4 linked regions of the Schizosaccharomyces pombe genome follow. The gene in region 4 interacts genetically with the main gene of each other region. Each region holds a gene or a part of one and is shown on either strand. Other genes may lie near its edges.

Region 1 (3,381 bases), on a different chromosome or scaffold from region 4:
CTAGCTGACGGTGCTTTTTTTCTTCTCTTTCTTTCATCCATCGTAAAACTTCGAGACGTTCTTCATCAAGTGCCGATTCCAATGATCCTGCAGATTTTCCACCACCAGAGTAAAGAGCCGAAGTCATCCTTTAACAAATAATAAATAATTCAAGTTAGTTCGCTTTAACTAACTCAAATGTATGAATTGCCCTCACTAGTTTGTTTACTTCCGTTAGGTGGTAGATACAAGGTTGCCTCGTTTTCAACCTACGAATCCTACAAATAGCGCGCAGCGAAACAACATTTGATCTCCTTCGCTAATTTATTACATCAAAACTATATTAATGTTTACACATAAAGGTTCTTGAATTTTGGAGGAGTAATCAAGTTAAAACTGATACTGTAAACTATTAATTATGTTTTCAAAGGTTTAGCTATATTCTTTTTATTTGATCAGTTTCAGTCTTGTAATTTATAAATTGAACCAATGCATTTTTTAATTGTTATTAAAATTGTGTACTGGCATGTCATGCATTACAAACAAAAATGTTATATATTTATAATCTTCTAATATCTGCTTCTAATGGTTTTACCATGTCAGTTGTACAACAATCATAGAACAGACGGCAAAAGCTTGTTGCAAAAGATAAAATTCAATAGCAGGAGTGACATGTACAACAAATTATGTAAGAAATTGTATGCACGGTAAATTATAATTAAGATAATCATTACTAGAATTTCTCTACACATGGACAAAAACACTTGCTTGAGAAAAGTCTGTACTATAAGTTGAGACTATACAGATTTCAATAGATGAACTTCTTTTCACAAATACTGATACGGCAATGCTTCTGTATCCTTTTAGTTATCGTGTTAAGAAAAGAACCTCATCCACAATTCTATATGACAAGCTATCACTTCAACACTTCTAATTTAACGATTGCTTGTACGCCAAAATGCCCGTTGTATGTAAGCCTTCTGATCCCTCAACCAACGTCGATAGTCCTTTGCATAAAAGTTAGTAATCAGTGTACAAAGTAAATGAGTAGATAACACATATCACATACAGAAAGGGAGTAAATTTTCTCACCGTAATAATCTAATTAAGAGTTAGACATCAATCATGACGCAGCCTTCACAGCATACCTGGGATAGGATTAGAATAGCTTTCCATTTGAGGTGTAACCCTGTTTTTAACCAAGTGACGGTAAAATTCTTGTTCTCTCTAAAAAATTAAATATATTAGAATACTTTCAGAAAACATAGTCCGTAGATGCTAACATAACCCCTATTATCTAAGGGAATGAACGTACCGCTGCAATTTGTCTCGCTTGACTTTTATGAAGCAGTGTCCATATTTTTCTACCTATACTAGGGCCCAAAAGCCATCCAAGCCCTCCGGATGCAATAGTTCCAATAACATATAGAGTAAATAGATCAAGACCCATAATAGTCATGGTAGGGTCAACAGTACGCGTAAGAAAATAGGCGGATCCTAATCCTAGTCCGGTAAGTGCAGTAGGAATAGAAGTTAAGGTTTCAAAAATCCTTCTGCTTTTTCTTAATTTCAGGAATGTGGGCCAATTTAAATCTTGAGGTTTCTTCTGTTTTATAGACTCAGTGGAATAAGTTTTTACATTATAACAAGTTTTCCATAAAGTTAAAAATATTTTGGGACTTTGTAATCTTTTTACAACTAGACCAGGCCGTATAATAGGTATCATAACGAATCCTTGCTTGTTGGAAAATGTATACTTCATATACGTATCGCCTCAATTGCTCTTCTCTTTTTAACGTATTTTGTTTATTATTCCTTAGCAAGCGCGGACGCATACTAGGAAACGCAACTTTTTTTGAAAGTACGCTAAAATAGCTTAGTGAGATATAAATGAGAGTTTAAGTAAATTATTTGAAACAATATTACGGTTCGTGTATTTCGCCATTCTCCTATTTTATTCATATCCTTGAGTCAGTTGCAAGTTTAGTGTATTTTTTTATTAAAAATCCATATTATTATTTATTTATCAGCATTTGAAAGTCTGTCACTTGCTGTTGGATTTAGTATAATGTCTGGGAATTCAGGCGCCTCTGAATCGATTTCTATTGAGGAGACCAATAGAATTAGAATTTCGCTAGGCCTCAAACCCTTAGATATTTCAGAAGAAAAACCTCAGAAAGAACTTTCAGATGCTTCAGTCAAGTCTTCGTATGTCGATCAAGAACAACAGGCCTATGAAAATTGGAAGAAACAAGAGCAGGAGGAAATAAATAGGAAGAAAGAAGAAGAACTGAAAAGCAAATTTGAAAAATTACGGCAAAAGAATGAACGAAGACGCAGAACGCAAGGAAAAACACTCGCTGAAACATTGGCAGAAGAGGATGATCAAATCGATGCTAACGATACTCGAGCGTGGATACTCAAAATGCGTAATTCCTCATTGAATAAAAATGGCAATGGATTGAATTTTGAAGCGAAGAATGACGCCCCCAGAAGATCCACTCTACATTCGCAAAATGCTGGTCCCAATGTGAATAGCTCATTAGAAGGAATGAAAATAGCACACGGTTTTCAAGATTTAAACAAGAACGATGGTCTAGTCCTTACATTGAAAGATGCTGATATATTAGACGAAGATAATCATGATCTATTAGAAAATGTTGAAATGGTCCAGCGGAAGACTAAAAACGAAAGGAAGGAAGATAACCCCTACAAACCGTATGAAGATGAGAATGATTTTCTTCAACAGTCGGAAGCAGATCAACCGTCTGAAGATACTTTTACGACCATTGGTCCACAAAATAGTCTCACTGTTAATTCTACTATAGAAAAACATAAATCTGATAATAAAAAAACTTTTGGGACTCTTGTCTCTTTCGTTGAACCAACTATCACTGGCAGCGAACAATCAGATTATCGACAAATAAAGATTAAGAAGTCAAAAAAGAAAAAGTCAAAGTCTGATCGGAGAAAGCGTCTAGTAGAACTTGATGCAGAAAATGAAAATGAAAATGACCCATCTGATTTCGTGCTACCGAATGGTCAGAGTAACAGTGATCTGTCAGTTGAGCAAGATTCGGCTATTTTCAAAGAACAAAAGAAAATGAAGATTCAAAAGCGTATGCGCGAATTAGAAACACAGTCGTTTGCTGATGATGATGATTTGCAACAGTCAATTGCAATGCAGAGGAGGCTAGCTCAAAAAAGAGCGAAAATACTTAAGCCAGAAGATGTAGCTGAGCAATTGCAGAATGCCGAAGAAGTCACAGATATGACGGACTCGGACACGGCTTCCGGTTTAATATTTGATGATACGCGTGCTTTTGTTAATAGCATAAAGGAAACTGAAAATCGAGAAGCTCTTGGTTCCATAAATGAACAAGCATTTGAAGATTCCAAAGA
Region 2 (7,519 bases), 1.2 Mb from region 4:
TCTGGATGAATTGACCAAATTTACGATTTTACATCCCTATAATTATGATAGTCATATTAAACTCATTGAAGAGTTAAAGCGTCTAGATAAAAAGAAGGAGTTGTCAGAGGCTAGAAAGACTTTTCAATCGATCTTTCCACTTTCAGAAGGTATGTCAATCAACAATCGTCTAGGTAAAGCGTGTTGAGGCGAATTCCATAGACTCGCAAAAATTATTCACTAATTACTTTAACTTTGTTAATCTTTTGACAAGCATTTATTAATGGTTTTTAGATTTGTGGGTAGATTACCTTTTAGATGAGTGCAAAAACTGTAGGACTTTAGACGACTATGTGAGGATAAAAACATTGTTTGATTTGGCAGTTCAAGATTATCTGTCAATCAAAATTTGGTGTATGTATCTTGAATTTACGCTAAACTTAATGGACACTTCTTCTTTTGAACAAGAACAGTCTGAATTAAACGGCGTTATTACTTTGACAGATGCCCATTCTCTTTTTGAACGTGCATACCAAACTTGCAAATTTCATTTTTCTAAAGTAAGGAACTAAAAATTTTCTTCATGATAAAAATGTATTTACTAATCAATGTTTACAGAGTCAATGTGTTTGGACGTTATATTTGGAATTTTTACAGACGTTCGGTGATGCTCTATTTGAGGGAGAAGAAGAGCAAGAAATTGTTTTTAAAAACAAGATATATGATTTTCATATTGATAGATTAAAACTTCCACATGAGCAGATTGAAGAAACGTTTACTTCTTTATCAACGTTTGTCACAAATAACTGGTCTCCTTCCGAATATGAGGATGTTATGGTGAAAAGCAATAAAGTGTATGAGACTACACTTAAAAGAAATGCAAAAATTTTTAATAAAGAACTATTGTTAAACAGCGCAAATCATTCTCTCGAAGCGTATATGGATTTAATTAATGATGAATCGCGACGCTCAACAGCTGAGTTACAATATATAACAACTCTCTATGAGCGTGCCATAGTTTTGTATCCCCTCATTCCGGAACTCTGGTTGCAATACACTGCCTGGCTTAGTAAAGTGGATTTTTCTTCTTCTCAAGCGTCCAGTGTAGCAGAACGAGCTACTCGTAACTGTTCATGGATTGGGCGTATTTGGTCCATTAAACTGACTTATATGACGCTTTCTGGAGCATCCACATCGGCTGTCTGTGAAGAGAAAGATCGATGTTTGAATTCAAATTTGCTCGTAAATTTTGACGAGGTTATTGATTTTTTTAGCGGATTTTTAAAAGCATGCCTATATTTGTCTTCTAATGAAGATAAGCCACAGGAATTTTTGAAACATCAAATTCATAAAGTCGAAGACTATTTGCGAAAAAATCATAAGGGATCAAAGGATGCAAGAATGCGCATTGAACTTTCAAAAATTTATTTATATTCAGAAATCTCTGATTTTGAAAGCGTAGAAAAGTGCTGGTCTGATATGTTTCATGATTTTCAAAATCAGGCATTATATTGGATTTCTCGATACATAAGTACGATGAAGTATAACCCAGAGCTTGCGGCTGAGACGTTAAAAAAAAGCCTTTACAAAAACGTTGATCAGCCTCAACTTCTGTTCCAATTTTATCAATCCATTATGGACCTTAATAATGACTGTTTCACAAACACATCACATTTATATGACGTTTTAAATGCACAGAGGATTAGCTTCAAACGTCAATTGGATTCTTTTGCTGAAGAAACGAAGCAGACTGTCGAAAACACCGAACCACTAAAAGTGCCTCAAGCTGATGATACAGCCGCCCTTTCAAAGAAAAGAAAACCTGGGCAAGAAGGTGATGTGTTCAAAAAGTCGAAACCTATTGAGCAACACAGGAATAGGGAAGAACTTACAGTTTTGGTTACCAATCTACCTTCCGATATAAGCGAAAATGAGTTGAAAATTTTTTTCAAAGATTGTGGTAATATTATACGCATTTTTATCCTCGAAGACAATCAAAAGGATGTTAAAGTGGCTCAGATTGAATTTTCTGAAACCAGTGAAGTTCTTGCTGCTAAAACAAGAGACCTTAAATCGATAAGGGGTCATGAAATTTCTGTTCAAATTCATGTAGACACGAACCTCTACGTTACCAATTTTCCTCCGACTTATGATGAATTAGATATAACCAAATTATTTTCTGCATATGGTAATGTGGTTGACGTCCGTTTTCCTAGTCTAAGGTATAACACGAACAGGCGTTTTTGTTATGTACAAATGAGAAAGCCCGATGAGGCACACAATGCCCTGCAGTTACATAAGAAGCTATTGGAAGAGAAGTATCCTATTCAAGTCTTTATATCAGACCCGCTTCGGCGAACTCCTAGAAGCGGTGCTGTCTATGAGGGTAGAGAACTCTACGTTACAAATATTGATTTTAAAGTAAATGAAAAAGACGTAGAAACATTTTTTAGGGATTATGGGCAGGTTGAGAGTGTTCGAATACCGAAAAGATTTAATCAACATAAAGGTTTTGGATATGTGGTAATGACTACAAATCAAGATGCTGAAAATGCACTTTCTGCTGCTGGAAAGCAATTGGGAAATAGAGTTTTGAACGTTGTTTTGTCGAAGCCTCGAGAATCTCTAGAGAAAACAAGGGTATCATCCAATGACAACCGAACCTTAGCTAAAAGCTTTGAGACTACTGAGTCAAATAAAATGTCAACGCCAAAAAAATCATTCGAACAAATCAAAAGCAAAAGCCTAGGAGTCACTAATGTCGACGGGACTGTTAACGAGGCTAGACTTAGAAGTTTATTCGAAAGCTACGGAAAGTTGTATAGAGTTGTTCTTCATCCTGAACATGAAGGTGCTGTAGTAGAGTTTTTGGATATTCATGATGCGGGAAAGGCATCCTTGGCATTAGAAGGACATGAAATTGGTGGCAGGTTACTACACATTACCACTGTCAATGAAATGATGCACAATGTCCCATCTAGTATGAATCATTCCGATTACAATACCTCTGCTACACGCCCACGGCGACTCGGAAGCCGAACGTTTCAAGGTTTCAATTCCAATCATTCCAATATAAATTCTAAGAAGGACGATTTAGACGATAAAGAAATGCAGATAGATGCACCTAAAAGCAACGATGATTTTAGGAAAATGTTTTTAAAATAGTCAGCAATAATTAGATTGAATGATTAAAAAAATATTGAAAACCTAACTTTTGATAATTTTGATTTATTAACATAAAAGACGAACAACACCTCATGTACGTGAAAGACTTGGGAGCGGATTTCCAGGTATTTCCACTATTTTTAGATTAGCACTATGATCTTTGGATAAGATTGCAAGTGAAACCAGATTTGTAATGCAGCAACATAATAAATTTTTTAAATAGTTGGTTTGCAAGAAATACGGGTTGATGAACTCATTCTGTTCAAAACCGGATTTTATAACATTAATAAGGCTATTCTTTGCAGCAGTGAATTTTTCATTAGATTTGATGATTAAATCATCCGTAGAGAAATTTTGAAGATTTTTGATTATGCAATCAGCTTCCGAACGAAGTAGTGGCTTGGGTTGACGCAAATTAATTAAAGGACGATAATGGGCCATGTAATATGACTCTTGAATTTTTTCATCAAGAGTAAATGAAGGAGTTTTAATGATATTCAACCGCATACAAAGCACCGTCAGCTAAAATCGTTAGAATAAAAAAGAAGCGATAAGCTTTATACATACTAGTAAATAGCCAGAATAGGTCTCCTTTATAGCATTCAATATTCGATGCAAATATGTAACAAAGGTTTTGGCCATAGGTGGGGTATTACGATCCTTTCCATGAAGCTCTAAATGAGTCTGGTGGATAGAAAAGACATGATCAAGCACAGCAAAAAAATGGGGCCATTGATATGGTTGGTGAAGTTTTTGTTCAAAGGAAGAAAGCAAGATATGCTCAATTGCATTTAGCTTAACATGGTAAATAAATGATGAAAACGGTCCATTACTTGGTAGGCTTTTTGCTACGAATTTCAAATCAAGCGCTTCAGCTTCAAAATGAGCAACGGTAATTTCAGGAAGTAAATTTATTAGATTACGGCGGAACCGACAGGGATTGTGGGAACAAATTCGGACAAGGTCAACCATGATATTAGTTGAATGAGCAATCAAAGACTCAACTAGCGGACCATAGGCTGATGAGATAGAGTTTTTTTCGATTACTGTACGGGTGTTAGGATTATAAAAATTTGAAGGAAGCCCAGAAAACTCACGAATACATTCTAACATATACGAAGTAGGTTGATCCCTTAGATTAACTGCATTGTTAGCAGTGATAAGTGCTTGAAGGGAGGAACGGACGTAAGGCTCTGGAGTACGATTCAATCTCGTAAAATCTAAACAAAACTGATATACTGCCAAGGAAGAAGCGAGAGTGTGGCTATTCAAAATCAAAAGCATATCATCAGCAAAATACAAAATTCGTTGATAAGAATGCTCAATGCCAGTAGGAGGAATATTCCTCACAGGAGCTGTAGCAACTAATTGGGCTTGGACGCGAAAATCCCAATATTGCTTTAATATGCTCTCCTTGATAGATGAATCAACTACCGAAACCGTGTTCTGAATCTCGGGTACCAAATTTTTGATCAGATGGAGAGCATCGATGGTGGTCTTAATATCACTCCTTTCATACACTCGTAAAATACCAATTCGAAGTTGTATTCTATTGAGAATTCCCTCGATAATTTGTCGTAACTCGGCAGAAAATTTTATAACCTCGGAAGCCAAATATTCGATGCTAGATTGCAAAAGATAATTGAGTTTTTCTATGGGGTAATTTTGAAGAAAGGACATGTGATATGAAAACGAACTAATGTCTTCCTCGTCATATAAATTTCCCATCAGAAATTCTCGATGAACAATATCGCAACATTTAATAACAGCCAAAACAAAAGGGAAAAGAACGATGTCAGTTGTATTCCTTCCGCTACCACTGGAGAAGCCACTGTCACCCACTTGTGAAATAGGCGACTTGCAAATGGAGAACACATGGGCACTACAGAGTAAGCTCTCTGATAAGGGGGATCCATAATGCCACTCTTTTTCCGCAGAGACAATTAAATCCATTAACGCTAATATTTCCAAGTAAGAGAGATCACGTGAAAAATCTACACGAAGTGGCTGATAATCAATCCCACTATCCATTTTCGGTTCCATAATTTCAAAGGCACTGATTGAATCCAATAATGTAAATTTTGGATCACATACTAGCTGTTCCTCTTTCAGAGATTTCGTGGCTTCAAAGTAAGACTTTGTACAGTCGACATATCCAGCGTTATCAACATAACCTTCGTTCCCTTTGGCCGGTTCCACATTTCCAATCTTCACATTTCCTTGCATAGAATTAAGCAATGATAGGGACTCTTTAACAGACATAAAATCGACAAAACACCCCTATATTGACCAATTTTCTATTGAACGTCTAGTTTATGGGTTAATGAAAAGTGTTACTCTGTAAGTCACAACAAAAATTCCACGCATAAAAATGCTTGTTCAATAACATTTTCGAGAGTAAATAAGATGGTAATTTTTTCAATAATAATAAAAACAATGATAAATCCAATTTGAAATTATTTTACTTGTATCTGCAAAGGTAAAAAACTATCTCGATGGTAACCCATCTCACCTAGCAGTAGAATATCTAAAAACTTTTTATAAAATAAAGAGAAGGAAAACAAAATAAATACTTTAAACAATTATGCTTTTTTGAACATGAGAATTTTGTAACTTTGAAATTGCACCAGTTCGTGGAACGTGCAGTCGCAAAGTGTACTGCATAAATAGATACATGCATGGAAGAATCGTGATTTCAGTCAAACACTGCATTCATAATCTTTCTCTTTAAATTTTCGAGTTCTAAATTTTTTTCTTTTAGGGCCGCATTCAGTTTGGCAATTTCTAATTTTAATGAGGAAACAGTGTCTAAAGGCTCCATTGAATTTGAATGAGATATAGGGACATCGGGAATCATCTGAGCTTCTGCTAATGAGTGCATACTCGGCGCTTTTTCCAAATTGAATGCATGACATATAGTAGCTGTTAATGGTCCTTGATGAACGGTCCAAATTAAGCGATCGGTACTGGCTTCAAGGATTTCGGAATGAGAAGAGACCAGGGCTAAAAGAGTACTTGAGATGAACTTAAAATTGGGAGTTTTGGGGATCGGCGAAGTTTCGGAGGGAGGAAGATATTGGGATATCGTTTCAGTATAGTGTGATAAAAGTTGAGAAACCGTTTCCATGGGCAGACGAGCAACATGTGAAAATGCAGAGCGAAGCATTGTATTTTGAGCATGCATCAACTTTTCAAATCTTTCATACCAAGAGATACTTAGCGTTAATGACACAGATGGTTCAGATCTCAGCCGTTTAATTTTGTTACGAGCTCCTGGCGGACGCCCGCGTTTACGAGGGACTCCTGCTTCATTTTCAACATTTTCCGTTTCTACTTGATTGGTTTGTCGAGACCAAGAATCATTCAACCCGTCACTTTCTTTGGGTGAAGAAACGTCTCGTAAATCATCAGGCCATTGATGCCAGTCAGGATCAATGGAATCAGCAACGCCAACTGCTTCAGCAGTTTGAAAAGCGTGATCATGGTTATGTGAATTGTTGGCTGCGGAAGGTAACTGATGGTCTTCGTCAGGTGGTTCAAACATATTTGGAGGATGTGGGAGAGAATGGTTTTGAGGAGTTGTCTGATGTGCTTGTTGAGAACCTCGTTCAGACATGTGATGGGACGCTCTCATTAAAAGGGATTGAGGGGTAGGGCATTCTTGGGAATCTGCATGAGGGTTTGTGACAAAGCTACCAAGATTGTGAGTGTTGTCGTCTAAACTAGCACTAGCTGAATGAATCCAGTTAGAAGGGGAGGTTGACGTGCGCATTGTGGAGATGGAGGAAGAGTTAACATCTGGATGAGACATTAAGCCTGCACGTAAAGATTTAATAACCAAATCATCAGTTACATTTACATTGCATCGAACTTGAGGTTGGGTTTCAGGAATTTCGAGATAATAAGGATTTGGTTTATTCAGGAGATAATCGAAAAAAGCATCAACATGTGTTTGACTCATCCACCGTTTTAAACGAACAACATACTGTTGTATTTTTTGAGTAGATTGTTCATCTTTTCGTTCCACACCAAGAAAACCCACCAGCTTGGACCAAGAGTTAATTATTTTTTGGTGGTATTGCCGGACAAGGAGAAATAAGACCCAAATCTCAAATTTTTGACCCTCTGATTTAGGAATCATATTGAATGCATTTGCTAATTGCCTCGTGTCAGCACCTGCATACCAGGGATTGCAGCAAAGACAGAATTGGCAGAACTTTTCAGTAATATTATCCGCGCTAACATCATGTCTAGATGGCAACAAGGAATAAAAGTTCATCCTTGATTAATTGCTTTAAAAAACAATAAAAAATGTAAAAAGACAGATAGATAAACGTTGGATTATTAAGTAAACACGACAGAAAGACACAAGCAA
Region 3 (2,689 bases), on a different chromosome or scaffold from region 4:
TTTAATATATATGAGACGCCGATCGTCCGTAGTACAGCTCATGAAACAGATGATGAACAAACCCCTTCTAAATACTCCGATAACAGAGTCGAAAGTTCTAGTGATACAGTGTTTGAGAATACTGATCTTAAGTACGATAACAATGTACAGATGAGTAAAGTGACTCATCATGTAAGACACGATACGATATCCACTGATGACTATGACGCTTACGAAGATGCCGAAGATGTTGAAGAGACAAGCCTAACTTAATGTGCATAAGTTTTATTCGATTTGGCAATGATTGTATGCCAGTTTGTGTATTTTTTTTTTACTTTTTTTAACTTTAATTGTTACGAGAGAAATTACCCTGTATTACACTAGGACTGATGCAAATCTTGTGAATCAAGGATTTGCTGAATAGAGTTACAACATACCTTAATATGTACAGTTATAACAAGCAAAGGAAGCTTCGATGTTGTCCAATACCACTATTGGGATACTATTTTCACTTACAGTCTAACCAAATATGAGATAAACACAGAAAAGAAATCTTAGATATTAAAGAAAATTTGATTAACTTGTCGTTTTAAAAATCAGATATTGAACCATCGGAATCTTAAATACGACGTACGCCGTAACCGATCAAGGCAACACTTAAGCCTACTGATTTCACTAGAGAAGATATAGTTTTGACAAGGATGTAAGGGGTACCTCTGCTTTCTGTGAACATATAGTCGACTACGTCGGGCAATCCAGATGCACCAAATACATAAAGACCCACGAAAAAGGCACCTTTGAGTGTCACAGTGCCTGTAAGTTGCAACAATGCAGCGATCGAGTACGACTGAACTGCTGTACTAAGGAAATTGCTAACATAAGTTGTAGCAACCTTCTTGGTTTTACTTCCAGCGTCATATTCGACGTGAGGTGCAGTGCTCATTGCCCTTTTCCAAATATCGCCCATTAGGGGTCCATAAACGAGGAAAGAAGCAGCATGGTCGAAGGCAATCCCCAAGAGAATTGCACTAGGGCGTACATACGGCATGTGAGTGTAGGATGGCATTTCTTGTATTAATATTTAGTTTGAGTTAGAACAAGATTAATATGAATGTGAATATTTTGTAAAATAAATGTTTTGTAATTAAAGGATTTAAGGGCGCTACCACTAAATATATAGTATACTCAAGGTCCAATTATGGATTTAGGTACAGATTAATTTGGGGCGTCACTTTGACGTGTCGATGAAGTATGATAATTGGGAAATACTGCTTAGCCTGACTTGACTTGTTTTAAGTCGCTATTTCGCTATTTACATAGTGATATCTACATCATTTTCCTAAACTTTTGGTGGAGCAATATCTCATACTGTTCGGATGCTGTGCCAAGTCTTGCATAAAGAAATCAGTGAAGTCGATAAATATAAGATTTGGAGTGCAGCGATGGTAACAACTAGTGATTAAAAATAGAAATTTACTACAATAATTTTCGCATGTTTTACATTAAAAAGCCCTCACAGAAGAATCAAAGTTGGATTGAAATTCCAGCACTAAAACAATGTAGCTTAGAAATTTTGTTTGCTGGCCCACATTTGATATATTGCAAGCTTGATCTTACGCAGTAAACACTTTTAGGGTAGCTATCGGTTGTTCACACTATTGCGAACAGTGCGTTGAACGACATTACAGCAGCAAGTAAACCTAACCTAGAGGAATAAGAAACAGTCACATTTGTACAACAAGGGTTTAGCAGAGAAACTTTATGCTGTCGAGTTCCTAATCACCACCATCTAACCATCACTTATAAAAGTATCAAAAAATGGTGAACATTCCCAAGACCCGTAAGACTTACTGTCCTGGTAAGAACTGCCGCAAGCACACTGTCCACAGAGTCACCCAATACAAGAAGGGACCTGATTCCAAGCTTGCTCAGGGTAAGCGTCGTTATGACCGCAAGCAAAGTGGTTTTGGTGGTCAAACTAAGCCCGTTTTCCACAAGAAGGCTAAGGTTACCAAGAAGGTTGTCCTTCGTTTGGAATGCGTCTCTTGCAAATACAAGAATCAATTGGTTTTGAAGCGTTGCAAGCATTTCGAGCTTGGTGGTGAAAAGAAGACTAAGGTATGTCGAAGAATGCTGATAACGAGTGGATTGGATTTAGACGAATTTGTAAAAGAGTTTTTGCCGTGGTTGAATACCTCTCAAATCCAGAAAAAAAATTTTGCAAAGCGCTTTTATGAATTGTCTTTTGTTGAGTTTCATCCTTATTATCGATCATTTTCTTTATTTCATCTACTAACAATCATTTTAGGGTGCTGCTATCCAATTCTAAGTGTTTTAGCAAATACAATTTTCTTCTTTTACGGTGATCCTAAAAGCAATTCAAAGTAGTGTTTCATTTGTATTGTATAAATAATGACATGATTCCGATAGAGTAGCACACAAAGTGATGAGTTGTCATCAATTAGCAGTTCGCTAACGCTAAGGTCTGTTCTCAATATTGGAGCAATCTTTTTCGAGTGTTTCTAGTTCCATCGGTTTGAGTCAGAGCTTTTCAAGACTTGTATTACTGCTTGAGTAGAAGACAGGTGTTGTGATTTCGGAAAATAACCCATCACATTTGTCAGCATGTTAACTAAGATAAAAGTAATCAAACAAGTACAGCGTAAAATAGCGAGAGTACTAAAGCATCAAATATGCTTTCAAGTATTGC
Region 4 (5,421 bases):
ACGGATTCGAAAGACGCCATGTTAATAGATATTAGATCAAATTCCGTTTCAGCCAAACTTCCCCATTCCGACTCTGTACTTACTGGTTCGTGGCATCCAAATGGAAATATTTTGGCTACTGGAGGACAAGATACAACGGCTAAAGTTTGGGACATACGTGCCCTTGGTAAGTCGTTTCGAAATCTAGGTAGCCAAATGAGTGCTGTGACGAATTTGTGCTTTTCTCCATTAGGTGAAAGCTTAGCTGTCACGGAACAAGCCGATTTTGTTCAACTTTTTGATACTAAATTATTTAATACATCCCAAGTTATTGACTTTTTTGGAGAAATCGCCGGAACCGCTTACTCATCTTCTGGCGACAGTTTATTTATTGGTGTAGACGATCCCATGTTGGGTGGCATTTTAGAATTTAGGAGACCTTTACAACATCCGCTATCTTTCATATTTTAATTCTTTAACTCATTGAGTCATTTAATCTTATAATAATAAATTCCTTGGTACCAAACAAAACTATTAATGAACGTTGAAAAAAATAATGAGATTTTTTGTAATAGTCAAATAATCATTTAGTTTATAGGAGAGCAAATAATATAGATGATAAGTATTGAGATATAAATAATACAAAAACAATAAAAATCTATATAGCATGAAATATTGATACTCTAAAGGGACATCACCAAATTTGTATTGAAGATTTAAAAAGGCATAATAAACAAACAACTATATTTTTCATGATAAAGATAACAAAAGAGTAAAAAAACACAAACATTACTTATGCTCTTCATTACGACATTTTGGGCATTCTCCAATTTCTTCGTCCATTTGATTTTCGGAGTTGCTAGTAGATTGCTGGCATCTTTCATGTACTGAATGACCGCATTCGAAGTGCACAAATCTATCATTAGGATCACAAATGCCTTGATCCTCAAGCTGACACTGAGGACGCGTTGAGCTAGGTCTGCTATACGGATGATGCCGATTTGATCGTCTAGCAATCGGAGCAGCCATTCGAGGAGTGCTAGTTCCCGACGAAACCTTGCTAGTATCACCGGCATCACTACCAACAACGTCCGACGGAGTGGATATCGCAGGCTGGTCTACCGCAACATTACTCAAGGTGTCTACAGCAATGGAAGAATGGGTAGGAGTTTGATTTCGTGATCCTGCAACTTCACTCGAGTTTTCGTATTCGCCAGGAATATTTATCTCATCGGAAGGTTGTCGCCCGGCAGTGTCAACATTAATGCTGCTTCCAGCAGCTGATTGCTGAGCAGGGGTGCTCGATTCACTTCTAGTTTGATTCATTCGATTCTCCATTTCTTCCTGAAACCTTTGCAAAATGCGCTGCCCCATTTCACTGAGATGGGTAATACCAGGACCTTGGAAAGAGCCATTGCTTGGAGGTCTACTTGAATCTTCCATCGTAGCATCTGTACTTCTAGTACCTTCCCTTGAAACCGCTTCAGAAGGAGTTTCCTGTTCGCTAACTGCAGGTTGTAAAGGCGGTCTCGACAAGTATATATGAATTACTGGATGAACAGCAGGGGAGGAACCATTATTTGGTGTATTTGTACCCATAGTTACAGCATTTTGCTGATTTAAATTCTGTAGATTGGGAACTGCGGACGTAGCGTTGCTGTTGGTGTCGTCAGTATTCTCTGGCAACGTTTGACCGTTTTCAGTCTGCGCATTGTGATCGGGATGGAAAATTCCATTTAAATTAAGCAGGTTATTATTACCGCTAGGACGGAACATAGACTCAAGAACAGCTGGTAAATCGGCTAATGAAGGAAGACCATGGAACGTCATTAACTGTGTAAAAGGCCTTTCAGATCGATTCGTATTTGCAGGGATATTTGTTTGGCTTCCAGGAAGCCATGAAGTTGATTCAGGCGAAGCCGTTGGAAGATTTAGCAAATTGGGAGGCTGTATTGAAGGTGACGGCTCAACTGGTCTAGCTGGAGCATTTTGAGAGGGCAAGTTACTAGTTGGCAAGTCTGTGGAAGTACTATTCGTCATACTACCAGAATTAGAGGTAAGATTCGAAGTCATAGGTTCATTAGAGGAAGGGCGATCAGGCATAGATGAAAAGAAAGCATTAAATAAGGACGTAAGCGTCGAAGGACGAGAATCCGAAGGAGTAGTCTCTTGTCTAGAGCTAGCATTTTCGGCATCAATAGAGGCACCTTCTCCTGCTAAGGGCTCACTACGAGTAGTAGGTGTTGAGGTGTTTGAGTCAGGGTTTTCAGGGTGAGTATTTTCAACAGGGGTATTGGTGGCAGATCGATTTGGAGCTAGAATAAAACGTATTCGGTTAAAAGCAATGCGATGCAGTTGCCGAGCTGGTTCGTCTACGCCGGTTCGACCATCAGTGTTTGCATTGTTAAGCTCCTCAGATGGATGAAAGTCGGAATGAACACCATTTGATGCATTTTCTTGAGAAACCGCGGTGTTGCCTTGGTTGCCACGAAGCGTATGTGAGTGTGGAATGATAAATAAAATAGGAGGATGAGCTGAACCTACTGTTTCGTGGGGAACCTCTTTTCTACAAAGAGGACATGTACAATGATTTTCAAGCCATTTTTGTAAACAATTTTTACCGAATATGTGGCCACATGGCATCTTGGTAGCCTGCTTTTCATCATTTTCATTCATATCATCGTAACAGATCGGACAAGTCAAATCCATCAGTTGGTCATTAGACAAAGGTTCGAAAGAATCCCAGGCTTCTTTTACAGCGCGTTTTACGGGTGGTTGAAAGGGATTGGCAAACGGATCATTTTCTCCACCCTCGAAATTGGCTTGAGGAGTTATGATAAACATTGTACCAATTGAAAAAGCAACTGGTTGAGTCCCCGTGGTAGGGTGGGTACCTTCTTCACCCTCAGTTGCTTCACTGTTTGGATTACGATTCAAATAGTCATCATGCCCTTCAGATGATTGTCTCTCGTTTGATGATGCATGAGAATTATTCTCATTTGTATTGGAATCCATTTAAAACAGATAATTGTAACAGGAGATTCTATACAAAAAACTAGTACCTCAGTGGTCTAATAATAAAACCAAAAAAAAGAAATAAAACGACCACAATAAAGTCGAATCTAAATAAATAAAGCAGTACTCAAAATAAAAACAACAAATAAGACAAAGGAAATATTTGTAGGAGACTTATTATATACAAAGGAGGAATATGGTAAAATATGATTGCTGCGGTAATAAAAAAACAGGAATCAAAAATTTAATGGTAAGGAAAATGTAACATTCTCCATCGGGGTTTTCTGGCCACTGAATATTTCAATATTTATTTAGGCAAGCAAAAAAAAAAGTAAATAGAAAATAAAAGACGTTATAGAATGTTATAAAGTGCACCTTTCCACTTAAACTATCTTTTAAGGTGCAAAATGTGGTGTTGAACAAAATAGAAAACCAGGGACTTCCATTATATATTGCCAATAGAGACAGTGAACATGTGGGCGTTCATTAGGACATTCAATACCTTAATATTTTTAAGGAGTTATAAAAGGTTCTCCTTATTTGATAGTTGGGAGGTTTGTTGACATAAAGCATATGAAAACCGAAATTCTGCGAATCGTGTAAGAAACCGCATATCCTTGAATTTATAATTGACATTTAAGCTAATGCTTTATATATGTACTAAAAAAATGATATGCTCTTTAGTAAAGGAATCATCTAAATACATATTTTGCCATTTAAAATATGTATATTAGAAACTAACAATTACATATTCTTTCCGCTTTTATTATGCTGTTATAAGAACTTCGTTTCAATATATGTTCATCACTAATAAGAAAGTATTAAATTTTAAGTTCACAGCAAACACACGCAGGAACATAGTTGTCGAAATAAAAAGTAGCACCAAACTTTGAAGTTTCGTTCATCGGTATCTTATTAAGCACTCCATGCGTAAATATTTGAAGTCTAACTAAGAATGTTATCAATGGAAAAATAAATGTAGTGGGTTTCAAAAGATCTCAGTTGGCCTTCATGAAACTTTGTGTGATAGTATTAACCATAAAAGAATGTATGAATAAAAGAACGTAATGTGCACCTAAAAATAACCATTGGGCTCTATTCAAATATTCAATCAGAAAAGAAGATATATGCTTGAAAGTAACAGTATGGGAGGTTATATAAACTCATACTAAAATACAGGATCCGTCATACAGTCTTTTGGCTTTTGTATTATAAAAATACGTAATCAGTTGATGCTTAAGGATTCAAATTGACGCTCTGTCATTTCAAAGTTGGGAAGTAAAAACACAATATCGTTCCAGCGCTTTCGTCAATTTAATTAACAAGCAAATCGTTAAGCCAGAATCCCATGAAATTAGCTTTTTCATATACAATGAGCTTAAAATGCAATGTAGTTCGAAAAATTATTTACAGAATTTGAAAGAGCTTTAACCAATAAATCTCTTGATAAAAGCCCTAGATAAAAATCTGGAAACAAATCCAGAAGAATTGGAATCTGCAAGTTCTGTAGCCCAACGACGCTTCGCGTCTTTGTCACAACGACTGTAAGCAGCGGTGTTAACACTTGTCAGTCCAATTGCGACAGCAACGAGTGCAAGCCAGAGAAATTCAAATCGAATTATAGCTACAATCCCCAATATGATCCAAATAAATGGATATAGATAGAGAGCGTACCAAAACGTCTTCTGATCAACGGCGTTTCTGGGACGACTGGGATCTGCCGATTCGAAAATCCAAATGCTTTCACCATCAACTCCAGTTTCATTTCTCCATCTCAAACCAACTAGTAAACGACCAGAGACGTTTTTAACAGTCCAAAGATCAACAGCTAGCAAAGTGAAAATTACAATAAACAACAACATACTATTTTTATTTGTTTAGCTCAATTTCTTTTTCTTTTAAATTTCTGCTATTAAAAACTTACAAACTTGAGGTAAAGAACATGCCCAATATGTATGCCACAATTGCACCGGTACGAAATAAAAGAAAGAAGAAAAGAGCTACAGGATGCGAAGACATTTGAAACATCTGCGGTAGCCTACTAGCATTCCTTTCCTGCTCGGCAATTGTCTCCGTATTTTGATAGTCCATTTTCGTCAACGTGATATGGTTATCAACGTAAAGGTTTCGATCCAAAGAGGTGAACATCTCAGCAGGGGTTTGACAGTATGCGAATAAGGAACCTTAACGAAGATTCTTATTGTGTAGCAAGCCTGGTTTTCTAAAAGATCGTATTCGAAAGTGAATGTTTAGTTGTTAATTTAAGTTTTATAATATTCTTCTAACGAAAATGTTTATTAAATTTTTTTAAAACTGTAATGCATATAATATCCAAAGTATGAATCTGACTGCCTGTCTGTTTAATTTTGTTAATGCCTATCATCTAAGCATTTGAAGTAAATTAAATTTTTCTGTAATACTGAATTC

The links.
Region 1: mutations in san1 (region 4) and pam17 together harm fitness less than expected from each alone (positive genetic interaction), as found in Schizosaccharomyces pombe (one large-scale study listed by BioGRID).
Region 2: mutations in san1 (region 4) and naa35 together harm fitness more than expected from each alone (negative genetic interaction), as found in Schizosaccharomyces pombe (one large-scale study listed by BioGRID).
Region 3: mutations in san1 (region 4) and SPOM_SPAC15E1.02C together harm fitness more than expected from each alone (negative genetic interaction), as found in Schizosaccharomyces pombe (one large-scale study listed by BioGRID).

Annotation. Positions count from the first base shown.
Region 1 is NC_003424.3:1,553,087-1,556,467, forward strand, and holds pam17 (putative TIM23 translocase complex-associated motor subunit Pam17), read right to left. Parts: upstream 1,735-3,381; 5' UTR 1,706-1,734; coding exon 1,295-1,705; intron 1,207-1,294; coding exon 1,128-1,206; intron 1,081-1,127; coding exon 1,049-1,080; intron 987-1,048; coding exon 915-986; 3' UTR 501-914; downstream 1-500. Other genes in the region: protein Dbs2, read right to left, coding at 1-127; U4/U5/U6 small nuclear ribonucleoprotein complex subunit Snu66, read left to right, coding at 2,048-3,381. UniProt on the Schizosaccharomyces pombe protein: Component of the PAM complex, a complex required for the translocation of transit peptide-containing proteins from the inner membrane into the mitochondrial matrix in an ATP-dependent manner.
Region 2 is NC_003423.3:4,131,606-4,139,124, reverse strand, and holds naa35 (NatC N-acetyltransferase complex subunit Mak10), read right to left. Parts: upstream 5,467-7,519; 5' UTR 5,407-5,466; coding exon 3,712-5,406; intron 3,667-3,711; coding exon 3,235-3,666; 3' UTR 3,145-3,234; coding exon of another isoform or gene 598-3,144; 3' UTR 540-597; downstream 1-539. Other genes in the region: RNA-binding protein Prp24, read left to right, coding at 1-149, 274-539, 598-3,144; ARS-binding protein Abp2, read right to left, coding at 5,840-7,423. UniProt on the Schizosaccharomyces pombe protein: Component of the NatC N-terminal acetyltransferase.
Region 3 is NC_003424.3:3,720,712-3,723,400, forward strand, and holds SPOM_SPAC15E1.02C (uncharacterized protein), read right to left. Parts: upstream 1,126-2,689; 5' UTR 1,046-1,125; coding exon 599-1,045; 3' UTR 546-598; downstream 1-545. Other genes in the region: bud6 (actin-interacting protein 3), read left to right, coding at 1-252; rpl42 (60S ribosomal protein eL42), read left to right, coding at 1,798-2,097, 2,288-2,308.
Region 4 is NC_003423.3:2,952,048-2,957,468, forward strand, and holds san1 (RING finger protein), read right to left. Parts: upstream 3,412-5,421; 5' UTR 2,995-3,411; coding exon 769-2,994; 3' UTR 548-768; downstream 1-547. Other genes in the region: SPOM_SPBC2A9.03 (WD repeat-containing protein), read left to right, coding at 1-450; putative transport protein Tvp23, read right to left, coding at 4,422-4,857, 4,919-5,085.